4 linked regions of the Arabidopsis thaliana genome follow. The protein of the gene in region 3 purifies or fractionates together with the protein of the main gene of each other region. This does not show direct contact. Each region holds a gene or a part of one and is shown on either strand. Other genes may lie near its edges. The genes, in order: BTF3, CAND1, AT2G40290 and AT1G73230.

Region 1 (3,963 bases), on a different chromosome or scaffold from region 3:
CGTCTGTTTTCCAATCCATCTCTTGCTGCTTCGACTTCTTTTCCTCCTCTTCTTCACTGCTCTCTGGAGAAGGCGGCGCATTATTGTTATCGTGGTCTTCTTTTTGCTCCTCCGCTAACGCCACCGGAGAAGGAGCTTCGTTCACAGGTTCACGAACGCGATCATCTTCCGCTGAACATCTCAAAGAATGTCTGCTTCTCGTTGTCTGATTCACAGAAGCTTTCCCAAAGTTCGAAAATTCTGCTCTGTCAAAGCGACGAAGATGCAAACTGTGACAGGATTTAAGAGTTAAGGAAGATGATGGAGTAGAAACAAAGAGAGAAGCCATGGTTTACGAAAACTCAGAAAGATTGAGATTTGACGACGAATAGACATGTCTCTGAGAGAGAATTTGTAGAGAAAGTGATGAAATGTCTGGAAAGTTTGAGAAGAAACTCATACAGTACAGGTGGAATGGTTTTTATGCAACAAGACAATGTGTCACATCAAAATCTTCTAATCCACATAGTGAAGAGGAAGAAGAAGACGAGGACCTGATTTGCTGTCAAAGAATCAATAAGACATCAAATAATTGGATAAAAACCTTAAGTCATTAGATGGAAAACAAGATTCTGGTCGGAAACTACAAAAAGGATCGAGCGAACAAACATATTATAAAGATATGTAAAAATCAAAGTGCGGTTTTTTTTTGGATGTGGTCTCGCTCTTTTCTCTCTAAGAAGAAGCAGCAGCAGCTGGTGCTTTCTCTTCAGCAGCAGTTTCGAATGTCTCTCCAACAAGCTCTGGGACATCGTCATCATCCTCTTCTTGTATGGTTGCTGAGGCGGCATTACCTTCACCAGAAGCCTGTTTCTGGAACTGTTCTGCTAGCTTCTTCAGGTTGTCCATGTTGTCTGGTCCTGAAAGAGATCAAAGTAACATAAAGTTAGAGACCTTAGGATCGATGAAGAACATTTAAGAGCTGTACAGTTACATGGTACACACCAAGTTGGCTGATGATCTGAGGAAGGATATCTTGCAATTCTGCAGGAAGCAACACGTTTACATTAATCAGAGAAGATGAAATGAAGAAGAAACAAGAAAGTAGAGATTAAGAGATATTATGAGATGCAATACTTTTGGTCTGAGGAGAACCGCTAACAACCCATGTGTTTGCAGCAATTGAAGCTTGAACTGTAGTAACATTCAAAGGAGGAACAATGATCAGTAACATGAAAAAAAGGTTCTGATGTATAGATAAAAAATGGTTAAAAATGACTTACCCTTAGGGTTGATGAACTGAATAACAACATCATCCTTAAAGATGTTAACTTCTTCAATAGCGGGAATGGAGTTAACTCCAATTCTCTTAAGAGTGCTTTGAAGCCTCTTGTCATCAGTTGTATTGGTCTTGTGCACAGCCTTCTTCTTTCTGCAAGTAAAAATCGAATGGTTTCATAACACAAATCATAGTAAATGCTAAGTATTGAACAATGAAATTGGTTGAATAAAACTCTATACCTTCTGACAGTACCCTTTCCGCCAGTGCGGACGGTATTAGCCATCTTCATCAACTTCTCCCTATTCATCTGTGTATAAACCATAATAAGAAGCAAAATCCATCAATCCCCAAATCACTTCCAAAAGAATCAATGAACACATTAACTGCTAATAATACATTCACAAAAACTTCTTATTATACAAGAAACTAGTGAGAAGAAAGTAAGCGCGAACAGATTTAAACTCAGATGCGTATGAAGACACGGTGATGTGACTAGTAGTTTTAACCTAAATTTAATCATTTTCAATCGATTAGGTATACCAAATCCCCCAATCAAACACACAGAGAAGTTGAAAACCCAGTAAATTCCCAAACACCGACAAAAACTAATCCTATCTACAGAAAGAAGCGAAATGAATCAAGAAAGAAAGATATCTGACATTTTGCAAAATCGGGGATTAGAGAAACCCTAGAACCGGAGAGATAAAACACTAATAGAAAGGAAAATTACAGTGATAATGAATTTACCTTGAGATTAGGGTTCTTCCTTGTTCGAAGAGTGTGAGGAGATAAGAAAATGAAACAAAAAGAAAAGAAACAGAGAGAGGAGAGACGCGGGCGGCGCAGGGTTTTGCCCTTTAACTATATGCTATTCGGAGCCAACCTCGTCTCTTAATCTAACGGTGGATATCAGATATTCCATAAAGAAATCTCCATCACTACCGTTGGATGCTCGATGATAATATTGGCCCATAAGGCCCAAAACTAAACTGGGCCAATAATTATTTACTGGGCTCTTTTGTGCCGTAATCAATCACCAGTATTAGCGCGTAGCAAACCATAATCTTTTGGTTACCAGAATTTCAAAATCCACAAATTTATCTAAATGAGTTTATCAATGAACAGACTTGTTTAGTTGACTAAAATTTAGAGAAGAAAGCTATTCGATTATTGATAATCTCAACAACAATGGTACATTTATTACAAAGTAAGTTTGCTTAACTTGAACTGTATGAAATCCATGAATACAAAAATTACATAAAAGAGATAGAGAGATCTGTATAGAACCAAAAATCAAACGCATAAACATTCACGTGTAAAGAGAATGAATATTGCTTTGTGTTTTGGACCTTGTTTTTTTTACTGCTTCTTCTGCACAACATTTTCCAAATACCATTCATAAGTTTGGGAGAGGCCATCTTTAAGCGAAATCTTCGGTGTCCATCCCAAAGACGCAAGCTTCGAGCTATCCATCAGTTTCCTTGGTGTCCCGTCTGGTTTTGTGGTATCCCAAACAAGCTTTCCTTTAAACCCAACAACTTCTTTCACCAACTCAGCCAATTCTTTGATCGTCACTTCAACACCACTTCCTACATTCACATGCTCAAATCCGCTGTACTGATCCATCAAGAAAACACAAGCATCAGCCAAATCATCGACATGTAAAAACTCCCTCAACGGGCTTCCACTTCCCCAAACCACAACTTCGTCAGCATTATTGGCTTTGGCTTCATGAAACCTCCTCATGAGAGCAGGCAGCACATGGGAATTCTCCGGGTGGAAATTATCATTCTGACCATACAGATTCGTGGGCATACCGGAGATAGCATCCCACTGATGCTGAAGCCGGTAAGCTTGACACATCTTAATACCCGCGATCTTGGCGATCGCATACCATTCGTTTGTCGGTTCGAGCGGACCGGTAAGAAGCGCAGATTCGGGAATCGGCTGAGGAGCAAATTTGGGGTAAATGCAAGATGAACCAAGGAAGAGGAGTTTCTTCACACCGTGTGTATAAGCAGAGTGGATCACATTGGTCTGGATTTGGAGATTGACCCCAATGAAATCAGCTGGGTATGTGTTGTTAGCATGAATCCCACCGACTTTAGCAGCAGCTAGGATGACATAAACTGGTTTCTCTGTAGCAAAGAAAGATTCAACATCTGATTGGCTAGTGAGATCAAGCTCTGAATGGGTTCGAAGGACCAAATTGGTGAAACCCTGATCCTGGAGCTTGCGGACAATGGCAGATCCAACCAATCCCCTATGTCCAGCGACAAAGATCTTGGCGGATTTCTCTAACATAAACGAACCTGATTTCATCTCTGCACAGAATTACGAGGGATCAAAGACCTAGGGTTCCAAAATTTCCACGAAAATCTAAATTCAATTCCACAAAACTCCGTATATAGACATGAAACATTATATTCAGACATAAAATAGAGAGATGGACGTACCGGATCCTGTGTTGTCCGCCATTGTTTAGTCAATTAGTTCTACAAGACGATGAGCGATTGAGAATGGGGATTTTGACTTATAGATATCAGTTTTCGAAGTCAACGACAGAAGCTTAGATTTGTAGGTAAAGGTTAAATTCCTTGGAGAATGTAATGTGGAGGAGATCTGAATATCCGCCGGCGATCTGAATCGGTGTCGGATATTTTGTTATTCAGTTTATGGATCCTGGCCCATGGGCCTAAATA
Region 2 (4,802 bases), about 16 Mb from region 3:
AACTCCTCAACAATAATTCTATAGTAGATTCTTGTTTCATATTTAATCAAACACAGGTAAAAGAATGAAAAACTCTTGTGTAAGGGAATCTTGTACACTCCCGTCATGAAAGATAATACGCTTGATCATTTAAAAAAGATATACCTCTTGATATACTTTAGTGAGCATCTCAGAACGCGAAACGATTAATCCTGCTAGGCATTTGGCCGCTGCTCTCCTAACTTTCCAGCTGGCATCTTCATCATCTGTGTACTCATTTGCACTCTCGCTGTGAGAAAGAAAGACTTATTTCAGTGAGATAATGGTGCACCGTAAGGAGCTAGGCTACTGTTCCAATGAATAAATCAGAACTTACTCATCTTCTTCATCTTCAAGAGTCTCATTATCAGTATCTTCCTCCATATTGTCCGTAAAATTCGGGTCATAACTAATATATTCTAAAGTAAGATTTAAAATTTCATCACAATATGGTGAGATGTCCCTGGGACATCGTAGCAAGAAACTTTCAAGTGCCTGCAGTCAAATTTCAGAACAGACATGTTATCGTCTACATTGTTCATACCAATTTTATTGAACCTAAGATTAGAATTCCAATTTAATAGCATAGGAAAGAAAAGAGACTACAAGCACGCCTAAGTAATTGTCTGATTACAAAAATTAGATGAGAAAACAAAAAATGCAAGCGTAGTGAGAAAGTAGGAACATTAGGGAATCTTGCACGATACCTGTAAGCTATACTCGCGAAGCTCCTCGTCATTTTCTGAAGCGCTAGTGCAGTAATTGATTAATACTGGCACAGTGTTACCTAGATGAGTGCCAAACCGGTAACCAACAGCACGGCTGAAACAAAAACGCATTAAATAGCATTACAACCATGGCAAGCCTAGTCGTAGATAACCATTCATCCCAATCAATAAATAGGTAGCACAAGTACAACTAACCGAAGCATACTACAACACTACAGTAACGTATGGTAAGAAGTTAAAGATATATAACAAGCCGATAAGAAGGAAGATAGGAAGTACCATAAAGCTCCAATCATTTGAATATTGGTACGTGTAATCTCCGATTTTGCATTCCTGTTACTTAGATTTTTCACAACTTCAACAGTCGCCTTCGCGAGCAAATCATCAGACAGACTGGAAGCAAGAGAAGCTGACACCACACAAAATTTTGAACTTAGAAGAGGCTATATACCATCGAATTAAGAGTTCTATATACGACTAGGAAAAAAATGACATTGAATATATCATTTGAACTAGCATCGGTTTCACAAGAATTGACGCAAACAGCTGAAAACCATATTTCTAATATAGATAAGGAAAGCTACCACTCAAGTCTCGGCAGATTAAAGTTGGTTTCAAATTAGCTAAATATTGACATTAGTACCGACAGTACCCAGCAATCATATTGACTCAATTTTATGAACTTACCAATGCATGTAACAGTCTTCTTCCTGACTGTGGCTTGGTTACAGCCCAATTGCAATAACAATGTATTCAATAGCTTCTCGTGATCATCCGTCATTAAACTTCCATATTTTTGAACAACATCACACATGATCTCAAGACATTCACACTTGATCCCTGAGCTCATTCCCTTCAGCAGTAAATACGCAGAAAATTAGTTACTTGTAAAATAAGATGATAGAACCTTAGAGTAGACAAATAATTATATGCATATACTGTGCTCTGGTCTACTAAGAGTTTTTCAGACAGAGTTCTTTAACTGTATTAGATCCAATAAAACTTAAAACGTAAAATCAACTAATTTTCCAATAGATGTCAATCAATATGATTTTGATGGGATCCGAAATTGTCTAGGACGACCCTAAGCACTGTCGCATATGCAATCGAAATAATAAGGAATAGACCTCCCAACAACTAACCTGGCCACTTATTCCTCCTATCATTTGTGGTGTTAGAGTAACAAGAATAGATGGAGCAAGCGTAGGAGCAATTTGAGCGACAACAGTCCTGAGAGCTATGCTTGCGGTATCACGATGCTGGTCTTTCCCATGCAGCAGTTTATCACATAACTTGTTGGTCATTTCAACAATTCGTTCTTCTCCAACCTTCTTCACCAATGGAGCAAGACTGGAACAAAATCATAACATCAAAGGTCGACGATAGATCAGCTAAATGTAAAAGTATAACATCAGCTTAGGTCATAAGTTGCTAAGAGCAGAAAGCTAACCATTTAACAGCCAATCCAGAAACATCACCAGCCACATCATCGAGCTGTTGCAATATGATACTCGACAATCTCACCTCCAAGTCCAGGTCGATTTTAAAGGAATCCTTATTCAACTCATTAAGCAAATCAGAGGTTGCCATGTATCTGTAATCTTTATCTTTACCCGTCATCTGAAACTATAGTAAATACAGCAATGAGAAAAGGTGACTATACTCAAAAACAAAATTAAGCTTAATTAGAAACAGATGATGAAAAGACCTTTTCGAGTATCCCAGAAACTTGTAAGTTCGCCATATTGGCCCGACCTTCTCAATTCACTCCTTCCAACTGCAATCAAACAAGGATCTCAAAATTCATTACTTAGTAAAAAGAGAATCAACCATGCGTTGAACTAAAACGCTTAGTCAGAGCAATGTCACTCTATCAAGCTCTCCACAGAGGTTAAAACATCAGAAACAAAGTCAGAAGTGTAAAGAAGAAGCATCGAAGATGGATTAATTATCGCCGGTAACAAAACCTAATTAATATCCCTTAGAAAACTTTTGATTCATCGAAGATCACAAAGAAGAAGTTCGGTTTGATAAATCAAAGTATCGTCGCCACCAAAACCCTAAGACTACGACTACGAAGACGAAAAGAGTTAACGCTAGACATCATCACACTTTATCGATCAAAAAGCAAAAAAGAGGTAACCCTAAGTAACCTGAGAAGATGAAATCGACGGAGGTAACGCCGGAGACGGAGTAGAACGCCGAGAGTTCCGATTTGGTGGTGGTGGAAGTTGCGGAGAGGAGAGAGCTCTGAGGAAAGTAAAAAAAGATGGAGGAGATACTGTAAATTTCCGTACTCGTGAAAGCTTGATTTTTAGCCCTTCTCTCTTCTTAAGGAGGAAGTTAACTTTCTTCTAAATGGGCCTGTGTAGGATTAATTGGGCCTGACTTGGTGCGATTTGAGTCGGTTAATGGGTAGCGTTTATTTCATGCTGTACATTGTTGGACTTGATTAGTCGGTTAATACTAAATGGGTTTGGCCCAATTACTTTGTTTTCAGTCTGAGCCCAAGCATGGGTTTCTTTGTTTGATCCAAGTAGTTCTTTTTTTGTTTGCTTTTTTTGTGTCAGGGACATGCTATGCGATTGCGACCAACCAACTAAATAGTGTTAGCCATTGGTTCATCGACAATTTATGGTCAATATTTTTGAACGATTAGCAAGTAAAAAATTGTATCACTGAAAGTTTTCAACCTAGGCCAAGTATATGTGGTTTAGTGGTAGGGGAAGCTTTGGGAAGGATGAAACTCTTAGACCCGAGTTCGATTCTCCTTGAAAGTTGGTAAGTGTATAAGTTGGGTCTTGGTTTAATTGGTTTACTTGGTAATTAGAAATGTAGGCGGCCGCCTGACTACCCCCTGGCATTAGTCAGAAAGCATTTCAAACTCGTGACAGACAGACAGTATGGTGGTTTTTCGGGAAGAAGTCCACTCGAAAACATTTCGGTGTGTTTTTACTAGGGCTAACCAGATCAGCCGATAAGGTTTATAAGAAAAAAAAAAAATTGAATCAAAATCATTTGTTAAATGTTCCCGACCCAACGACTACCAAATAAACATGATTTCATTGTCGATAGTCATCGCTAACGATTATAAAGTTAACAAAATATAACTGATTGTCATTGTTGCTAACGACTAAAAAAAACTAAAACCGTAAAATATGGTATAGATGTGAGATTTTTTGTCGAAATTAGACTTCCTTTATTTTGAACTAGAACTTCGAAATTCAAATTATTAGATACTTTTGTCTAAGTAGTTTCTTCGTCATCTGTTTCTTCCACTTCCACGTGTGTAAATTTTTCGTGGGTTTCAGGATTAAGTCTTCCTTATGCTATTTCCTTAGTCTTAGTTGTTGACAAATATGTGCCCGTAGAATCTTCATACTTTCGAATGACAAATTCATCGCCAGACTCACGGTCACGCAAGAATGGAAGGTTAGACACCTCAGGCACATTCAAGTGTTGAAGCTCTTCAATTACTTGATTATAGACATACTAATATTTGAAAAGCAACAAAATTATGAATTTTTTCAGATGAGAAGTTAGGTCAGTGCTGTCCTCTAGTAGTTCCTCTATTACCTGAAAGAAAATGAATAACACACATCATGTCATCATACATGCAAATACAAAATCTAAATGTATAGTATACTACTATTTTGAACTAAACCAAGTAAAAAGTACCTCTCTACCACGTATAGTTTTAGTACCAATTATTTCATATGCTCTTTCGGATCCCTCCGTTAATGGCCATTTAAAATAGTCACAATCGCAAAGAATGCACATCTCCAGAAAATTATCGTCTGTGAATTCTGAAAAATCGTAAGATTTTGCTTCTTCTTTAGTTTCTTTTTCGTTGTCTTTATTTTTCTTGCTACTATGAAACCGCTTCAATAAGTCTATCATTTCGAGTTCAAGCAATTCAAAGTCTTTACTGGCGAAAATAATTTGTGATCACACAAAAGTTTAAAGTGGTAGTAAAAATTAATGTTATGTCTACATGAGAAAAACCTTTAAAATAATAATAATTGATAAGTGTATTAAAGAACTTACTCTTCAACA
Region 3 (4,719 bases):
AGGAAGAAGGTGATGGCGATGAGGAGAGTGGAGAGGAGTAAAACGACGACGTGTTGTACTGATATCGCCATTGGAGACGAAGATCATTAGAGATCAGTGTTACGAGACGCGTTTCAGGTAAGAGGAAGAGGAAAGTGTGAGCTGAGCTGAGCTCCAAAAGTCGCAACTTTCACATTTCGATTTTGCAGAGAGAGCTTAAGTAATTTTTAATGCGCCGACAGATTAAAAAAGGATTTGTGTCCGAAAGAATTTTTCTTTTCTGATTAGTAGTATAAGACAAGATGTTTGATCTTGTAATAAATCATTTTAATTATGAATCAATTGCAAGTTAACCATTTATGTATCAGACAGAGGATTTTTAAGAATTTCATTTTTGGTAAATTTTCTCAATAGAAGATCGCAGTAGTAATTGATGAATATCTGCATCTTCGGAGACATCAGATCTGAATTAAATCTACACACCTATCATTGCCAGATCCAATCAACCTACTTTCCTGAGGTTTAAACTCAAAAGTATGATCATATTGAGCCAAAGTTTTCCTAAGATAATAATGAGTCATGTGGTGGAGCAACATATTCTTGAGCAGTAGTAACATATGCAAAGAATCAAATCTTTTATAAAACCATGAATGTATGATTGATATGTAACCACCCCCTATGGGTAAAATAAAATGCCTCAGAGTCATCAAAAAGCACATAAATCCTCTCGGAGGTTTTTCTACTGCCTTGTCAAAGCTTAAACCAAAATACTGGGACTGTTGAGATTGGGTAGATTTAATAGAAAGAAAAATCCGGCAATCTTACTCGATGATTCCGGCACCTGCATCGAGATCCACTTCGCCCATACCAGTGTCCTCTTCTTCGTCTCCGCTATCTTCATCGCCGCTCATTTCTTCATTGTCAAGACGTAGCTTAGCCATGTGTTCTGTCAGCATCTTTTCATCACGTTCACTCACCTATATTTGACATAGATTATAAACATTAATAGGCGGTTGTGAACCAAATTAAACAAAACACAAAAGAAAAGCTCGTTCTTGTGACATGCAACTCGAGACGGTTCATCACTTAAAAAAAACTAATTTAAGATACTCACAGCTCTAGCCCCCTCCTTAACGACAAGCTTGCCTTTGTGTGTCTCAATTGTCTCAGTGCATGCTGCTATGGCTTTGTTTAGAATTTCAATCCCTTGTTCCTGTTTAATATTTGAGAAATTGAGAAGATAAAATGGGACAAAACATAGCATTTACACATTTATGGTTTAAGTGAAGACAAATCCGCAGAGCTACATAATTGGCAAACAAAGTTGCAATGTCCAGTGTTTTCTTAAGCATTTACTTTCCTTGCAACTACAGTGTTTTCAAAATTCTGGCAAGTAGCTTTAGTGGATATACAATCTAAACAGAGATCATAAACCTCTTAAAGATAAGTAGGGGAGGATTTCTATAATATACCAATTACCAAACCAAGTAAATCATAGTGCAAGATAGAAGATTGCCTAACCTTGTCAAGTGTCTGAGTAGTAAGGACATACAGAGGTGGAGCAACCAATTTAATCTTAACAGGACAGTCTTCATTTCCAGCGGCTTCAGCATTTTTCATAGCCTCCTGAAATTACAAGCATGGGTGAGAAAATCAAATGAAATCATAATGTATTCATTTCACAAGTTAAAGATAATCTAATAAGAGATACGACCTTAATGTGAACAACTCCATCAAACTGAAAACACTTCAATTCGATATCAGCCCGGATTTTCATTGGTTGTGGTGTCATTCTCCTCCTAATGTTCTTCACAAGTGCATCTTTCACTTCTTCCGTAACAGCAGGTACAACCTTAGTCACCTACAAACAGAAAACTTGTAAGATTAGCACCAAATAAAGTTAGTACTAACCGCTAAAACAATGCCAGAGAACAAAGTATATACCTCTTGCCCATCAGGCCCAACTTCTTTGATCTCACGGGTGAGAGGACCCAACACTGAATCAGGATCCGTCACTAAGATCTTGAAAGCCTGAACAAAAGAAAATTATATATGAGAACTAAATAACCATAGAGATACACAATGAATCTCCAATTCACAAAATTCTTACCTCAAAAGCATGACCATGTCGTCGATACAAAGGCCAACCAATGTTCACATACAAGTCCTGCAACATGAAAGCTCAAATCAATTTCTATTCAACGATCACATCACTAAGCTATGATATTTGATAATATCTCTAACAAGCAAAATCCAAATCCAGTAGATAATCCCAGATTTGAACTACGATATTTTACCTCCAAATCAATTGAAAGAGTCTCAGCAACATGGCGCATGATAGAATGAACAAGTTTGCTCTTGTTATACCTCTCTTCACAAGTCTGAATATCTTCCTCGCTGACTCTACGTTTGCTCAGATCAATGTAACCTTTCTCTTTGTCAACACGGAGAACCATGACAGGCTCAATTCTTCCGACCTTAATCAAACTGCTAACACTTCGGATCCGACGACGAGAGAGCTCGGAGAAAAGGATCATGCCTTCGATGTTGTTGTACTCGAGGAGAGAAACATAAGCTCCCATATCGGCAATGTTCTTCACCTGGATCATCACCGCCATATCCACCTCTGGGTATTTCGCCTCGTACATCCGACACTCGAGATTCGGTGTTTGACTCGCCATGATTGGTAGATTTCGATACTGCTTGAGCTCACGCGAATTCACTCTTCGTTGAATCGGGTAAAGCTACGAGGCGGAGACACTTAGGGTTTTAGACTTTTTAGGCGACGGAGCAAATCAGACAGGTTTCTAGAGATAAGAAATGAGCAAGGAACACAAACGGAAAATGAGTCGACTTGCGTCAAAGATGCCAAGTTAAACGGCACCGTGTCAGTTAAACAATTAGGTTTTAATTGGGCCACAAGATAGTTTCAAGGGGTTAGGGGTTAAAAGCCTATTCGGGTTTCAGACATTTTCGGCCCAACTTCTTTCACAACGTAAGTTTGGATTGATTTCCTTTGCTTATTCATGAATTGCGTTTAAACCGGAGCAAACTAAACTAGAGCTCGAATCCACATTTGGCAGTCCAAAAACATTCTGACCGAACCGATGTAGAATCGATCACCAGGTGGGTTTGATGAACCTTATACCAGAATATAAAGTTATGTGATCATGTCTTTTGTCTCTTACAGAAAAAGAAGTCTACTACCTCACAAAATCGTAAAAGCTAAAGAACTAAACATAAAGTAGACACATATAGAAACACAGTAGACACAAGAGTCCCTCGAAGCTGCTTACCCTTCCAGAAGCATCTGATTGAAATGCCATGTTCCTGAAATTACCCACAAGCATTCAAAGACATATATTAAAACCAAGTTTGAGGCACGACGTAGGATGAATAAGTGGATTTTCTTGTTCTTTTATAAATTTATAGATTAGAACAAAATGTGAGAGATTATTTATGTACCGTGTCCTTTGCCAACTCGTCGCAGTTGAGCCACATATTCTGAGATCAACTTGATTGCTTCCACCTGAGAAATGTTTTATTTTATCAAAAATTCCTATTAGATTCTCTTTGATAGCTTATATACAACAGTAGCTCTTTGCCACTAACATAGAACACCAAATAAATTACCTGCTCTGTCAGAAACTCGCTCTCAATAAAATCTGCCAAGTGGACATCATTGTTCTTCGAAGCAACCTGTTGAAGCAAAGCATTACCAAACTGAGAACAGTTCTTGCCGAGTGAAGATTAGATTTACTTCTCAAATACGGATTTGACATATATAGTATGAACTCAAGAAGAGATGGTCTTTACACTGTGAAGGTTTAAGAGCTTCTCATTAACTAGTTTCTCCAGTGACAGAGCAAGCTCCATGCCTGCAACAACAAATCACAGAATTGTATGTTAAAATTCCTATATCCATTGAGACTTGAATCTCCATATGAGAGATACATTTTCATAATACTTAAGAACTCAGATAAAATTCAGTCTTTGCTAGTGAAAATATGCAATCTCTTCAAAAGCTTAACAAAATCATTGGTGTCAATATCTAATTTCTTAGAATGTGGCAGACATATGAAACTAAAGAAGTTTTTTCACTTGGGATTATTAGTGTTAGCATTTTTGAGCTTACCATAAAGAGCATCTCCTTTGTCAACATGTTCAAACTCTGAAAGAGGCATTACAATGGACTGTAACTTAACCCTCCCACCACGTTTGTTCTGCAATTCATGGAAAAAAACTAAAACATGTTAGAACCAAATTAGCTCCAATAAGGTAAACAAATGGAAATAACTTTCATAAGACCTGATACTCCATTAACTTCTCAGCATGCTCTCTTTCTTCCAAACTTGATTCCTTAAAGAACCTGATTCCATGAAACCAACAATTAACTATGGATAAACAAAAAAAATCCGAAAATATCAACACTCTTGAATAACCGGAGACTCACTTGGCAAGACCTTTGAGCGCGATGTTATCCCGATCAAAGTAAGCATACATAGCGTGATACACATACGAGACATTGTATTCCACACTGCAACCAAAATCCATTGAAGAATTTCAAATTCACAGGTTCATAAACAATAAGCAGAATCAACATGAGGTTCCAAGTTACCAAATCTTATAGCCAATCAACCAGATTATAATACCGAATCTAAGAGACTGGGGTGAGAAAGAATAACCTACTTGATCTGCTCGTTAATGGCGGCTTCGCACTCGTCTGAGTACTTTTGTCGA
Region 4 (3,798 bases), on a different chromosome or scaffold from region 3:
CTGCTCTGCGCGGTTCTCTCGATCCACCGCGTGATCCGTGCGATATCTGTGGCAAAATGGTTACAACTTGCAGTTGAGGCGGTTGGGTTCATGGCATCCTCGACAGCGTATGACGTCCTATATGTCTACTGCGTAGAGCTGTTCCCAACAAACGTTAGGAACACTGCTGTCTCACTTTTGCGTCAAGCGTTTATGCTAGGAGCGTCTGCAGCACCACTGCTAGTTGCGTTAGGAAGGGAAAGCGCAATGATGTCGTTCATCGTGTTTGGTGTTGCATCAGTGCTGAGCGGCATCGTGAGTCTCTGGCTACGAGAAACTCGAAACGCTCCGCTTTACGAAACACTAGCACAACAGGGGAAAGCGGAAGAGATCGAAAACGAAACAATCATGATTACTTGATTGCATTCAGAGTGTTGTATTTCTATGGAATGTTTACATCCAATAATTGGAAATATGTAAAATCTTTGGAATTTCCATTTAAATGTACGAAACTGTTGATTGTTCATCTCAAGACATCGTTGACTCAAAACAAAGGACTGTGTTGCAAGAAGTGTATGAAGCGACAGGACATAGTAGTACTCATTTGAACAGGTGGTAAACAAAAAGCGATCTAACCTTAATAAAAGGAAAATTGCTGTTCGGACCAAAAAGCATCAAGTGATAATAAAACCAAGTCTTTCTGTTCGCAAGCATTAGAGAAAACAAGAATCTGACAGTGCTCAGAAGAGGTCGAGCGACAAACATTTTTATGATGGGTTTTGCAGGTGAGCTCTTCTCCTTCTTCTTCCTCCTCCTCTAAGAAGCAGCAGCTTTGGGAGCCTCTTCAGTAGCAGGGGTCTCGAAAGTCTCTCCCACTACAAGATCTGGGACATCATCATCATCGTCCTCTTCTTGGATTGTTGCTGGGACATCACCTGCACCTGGAGCTTGTTTCTGGAATTGCTCTGCTAGCTTCTTCAGGTTGTCCAAGTTATCTGGTCCTGCGATTATCAAAGCAAGAAAACAAAATGTTAACTTAAGGGACCACTGGTTTGGGAAAGGACATCAGAGTGTAACACTTAATGCTGCATACCAAGTTGGCTGATAATCTGAGGAAGAATGTCTTGCAATTCTGCAGGATAATTCACATTCCGAGATTAGACTATGCATAAACCGAGAATAGTATTGGATCAACAATGAGGATACAAACACTTACTTTTCGTCTGTGGTGTACCACTCACAACCCATGTGTTAGCAGCAATTGAAGCTTGAACTGTGATAGCAACATTAAAACAGAGACACAACAACCATTAATACAATAAATTTTATACGAAACCTGAGATTTATAAAGCCATAAAATTTGATGTTTTACCTTTAGGGTTAATGAACTGAATGACTACATCATCCTTAAAAATGTTAACTTCTTCAATGGCGGGAATGGAATTGACTCCAACTCTCTTAAGAGTGCTCTGGAGCCTCTTGTCATCGGTTGTAGTGGTCTTGTGAACAGCCTTCTTCTTTCTGAAATGAGAGTCAAAATGTTTAGAGAATATAACATGAAAAATGGCAAAAACACAAATTCACAGAAAAGACATAAATGAGTATACCTTCTTACTGTCCCCTTTCCGCCAGTGCGGACAGTGTTAGCCATCTTCATCAACTTTTCCCTATTCATCTGTTTTTCAAAACAAACACACAAAGCTAAACCCATTTAGCCCAAAATGTATCTTATAAATTAAGCATATACAATAACTAATACTGTTATTAATTAGCCAATGACAAAAACAGTAATACTGAGCAATAGTCACAACCCACAAATTGATTACACTAGGATTATGAGAACAGTGCAGCGAGAAGAACAAAGCTCGTATTGTTACAATGAGCTTAACCTAAAGTTTCAATTTTTTCAATCGATTAGGTCACCATTACACAAACATTACTTTTAACTAACTAACAAGTTATTGGAAAACAAGATAACCAATATCAAAAACAGTAATCAATGAAAAAAAACATATGAATCGAGGAAGAACAAAAACAAAAAAATGATCTTGACCCTTGTGCTAAATCAGAAGGAAACAATCGAATATCTTGGAAATGAAATGAGTGAACGATTTGCTGAAGTGGGCTTACCTTGTTAATCGATTTCTAGGGTTCTTCGTTGGTCGAAGGGTATAAGAAGAAGATAAGGGAAGAGAGAACAGAGGAGAGAGAGATCCAAGCGGCGCTGGAGGGTTTTGCCCTTTAAGTAAATGCGATGTGTAATGTAGCCAATCTAAGCTTTAACCACTATACAATTATTATATTAATCATCATCCAACGGTCACGATCTCTCCTTCGATATTACTATTAGCCACGCCATGGGCCCTAATAAATCTCTGGCCCATTTCAGATTCTAATTTTGGTTTCCTTCGTAAATTGCGTAAGAGTTAGTTACTGTTAAGCATATAGAGAGTCTTCTGCAAAATTTATGTAATCAAGATTTAAGATGCAAAACTTACCATTAAAGTTTGATTCTTATATAATTTTCTAGTTTACCAAAAACAAGATTAATCCCAAATTTCTGCAAAATCGAGGGATTTCATTTTCCAATACAAGGCTTTTTGATCATGTAACAAAATACTCTAGTTCCTTTTTCTATCCAGCTCTTGAATCATGATGACACTTGTTACCACATTTAATCGAGGAATTGTACCTCTTTAATCTTCCATCAAGCTTGGAACTCGAGGAAGAGCTTAAGCTTCTGTAGGAGCATGTCGTTTGTTCCAAAAGGTGGTTTCTTGCTTCCAATCCAATCTCTACCAAGAAGTCCGGCTCTGTCGCTGTTGAGCATTTCATCGCGGAATGTGGATAGAATCTGGTATACTGATATCCTCAAAACATCTGTCGCTGCATATGCGTAGGCGTACATTGCGCCAATACTCCTTTTGATGGGTTTAACGTCTTTTCTGACCATACTCGAGGTCGCCCATTTGATACTAGCAGGTCCCATCAGTTGTTGAGGTGATTGAAGATTAGTCTTCTTCCCCATAAACGTTTCGATAGCTAGCAAAAGCGATAGAAGTGTTGAGACAACATCAGCGTTTCCACCAGACAGTTGAGCTACTCCGAGCCTGTCTTCCTTGTGAGAGATTGAAGTCAGGGATGCAGATGTTTGAGCACACCATGCATATAGCTGCAAATATCGGATACAGAGCAAACAGATTTTGGTTACAGCTACATGAAGAAATTATCACATAGAAAAGGGATCAAAATTTGAATTTCGTTTTACCTGGAAAGACTTAAGTGATTCGCCGAATTTTGGATCAATAAAGGACTCGGTTGGTGGCTGGAGTGGTGTCTGATAACCTTTTTCAGTAAAGGTGTGGTCTAGCCCAGAAGCTAACTTGGAGGCAAGCTCTTCCAAAGGCCTCAAGCATAGAGTAATTACTCTTTTGTACGTCTCGGTGGACTCCTCAAAGAAGGCAGCACGACGCCATGTGTCAACATTATTCTGAGACACCATGTAGAGATCAAGGTATGCAAGAGACTGCTCGAGGGAACCTGGAGCGCTCCCTTCTAAAGCAGCAAGAAGAGGCTCGCTTGGATTCGTTTCTGCTGCAGCAGATCCTTTTGGAGGAGCAAAGCTGAACCGTTTTGTGTGCAGAACCTGGATATGAAAACAACAATTATAACTAACTTCTTTTGTATCTAGAACCTGGAAAAGTAGCTGAAGTTTATGGATGTAACAAGTAATACACAGAGCAAACTCACCGATGAATACTTAAAGTTGTTTAGGTAGGAATAGAGTTAAGTTATTCAAGAAAAGTAAACATATCGATA

Evidence for each region.
Region 1: the proteins of AT2G40290 (region 3) and BTF3 fractionate together in Arabidopsis thaliana (co-fractionation; one large-scale study listed by BioGRID). This does not show direct contact.
Region 2: the proteins of AT2G40290 (region 3) and CAND1 fractionate together in Arabidopsis thaliana (co-fractionation; one large-scale study listed by BioGRID). This does not show direct contact.
Region 4: the proteins of AT2G40290 (region 3) and AT1G73230 fractionate together in Arabidopsis thaliana (co-fractionation; one large-scale study listed by BioGRID). This does not show direct contact.

Annotation. Positions count from the first base shown.
Region 1 is NC_003070.9:6,151,858-6,155,820, forward strand, and holds BTF3 (basic transcription factor 3), read right to left. Parts: upstream 2,126-3,963; 5' UTR 2,009-2,125; intron 1,569-2,008; coding exon 1,501-1,568; intron 1,412-1,500; coding exon 1,263-1,411; intron 1,174-1,262; coding exon 1,117-1,173; intron 1,024-1,116; coding exon 985-1,023; intron 900-984; coding exon 715-899; 3' UTR 527-714; downstream 1-526. Other genes in the region: EGY3 (ethylene-dependent gravitropism-deficient and yellow-green-like 3), read right to left, coding at 1-328; GER2 (NAD(P)-binding Rossmann-fold superfamily protein), read right to left, coding at 2,621-3,585, 3,718-3,739.
Region 2 is NC_003071.7:688,033-692,834, reverse strand, and holds the start of CAND1 (cullin-associated and neddylation dissociated), read right to left. Parts: upstream 3,052-4,802; 5' UTR 2,900-3,051; intron 2,524-2,899; 5' UTR 2,491-2,523; coding exon 2,455-2,490; intron 2,373-2,454; coding exon 2,197-2,372; intron 2,097-2,196; coding exon 1,889-2,096; intron 1,600-1,888; coding exon 1,434-1,599; intron 1,156-1,433; coding exon 1,026-1,155; intron 841-1,025; coding exon 726-840; intron 514-725; coding exon 356-513; intron 269-355; coding exon 145-268; intron 1-144. Other genes in the region: AT2G02550 (PIN domain-like family protein), read right to left, coding at 4,071-4,238. UniProt on the Arabidopsis thaliana protein: Key assembly factor of SCF (SKP1-CUL1-F-box protein) E3 ubiquitin ligase complexes that promotes the exchange of the substrate-recognition F-box subunit in SCF complexes, thereby playing a key role in the cellular repertoire of SCF complexes.
Region 3 is NC_003071.7:16,828,230-16,832,948, forward strand, and holds AT2G40290 (Eukaryotic translation initiation factor 2 subunit 1), read right to left. Parts: upstream 2,998-4,719; 5' UTR 2,661-2,997; coding exon 2,277-2,660; intron 2,147-2,276; coding exon 2,090-2,146; intron 2,011-2,089; coding exon 1,924-2,010; intron 1,841-1,923; coding exon 1,694-1,840; coding exon of another isoform or gene 1,643-1,693; exon of another isoform or gene 1,606-1,642; coding exon 1,501-1,605; intron 1,193-1,500; coding exon 1,094-1,192; exon of another isoform or gene 1,090-1,093; intron 957-1,089; coding exon 801-956; 3' UTR 537-800; downstream 1-536. Other genes in the region: AT2G40280 (S-adenosyl-L-methionine-dependent methyltransferases superfamily protein), read right to left, coding at 1-71; FER4 (ferritin 4), read right to left, coding at 3,272-3,309, 3,445-3,508, 3,613-3,678, 3,796-3,857, 4,115-4,202, 4,288-4,348, 4,433-4,516, 4,669-4,719. UniProt on the Arabidopsis thaliana protein: Functions in the early steps of protein synthesis by forming a ternary complex with GTP and initiator tRNA. This complex binds to a 40S ribosomal subunit, followed by mRNA binding to form a 43S pre-initiation complex.
Region 4 is NC_003070.9:27,539,711-27,543,508, forward strand, and holds AT1G73230 (Nascent polypeptide-associated complex NAC), read right to left. Parts: upstream 2,243-3,798; 5' UTR 2,110-2,242; intron 1,655-2,109; coding exon 1,587-1,654; intron 1,501-1,586; coding exon 1,352-1,500; intron 1,253-1,351; coding exon 1,196-1,252; intron 1,112-1,195; coding exon 1,073-1,111; intron 981-1,072; coding exon 796-980; 3' UTR 518-795; downstream 1-517. Other genes in the region: OCT1 (organic cation/carnitine transporter1), read left to right, coding at 1-399; AT1G73240 (nucleoporin protein Ndc1-Nup protein), read right to left, coding at 2,687-3,151, 3,248-3,625.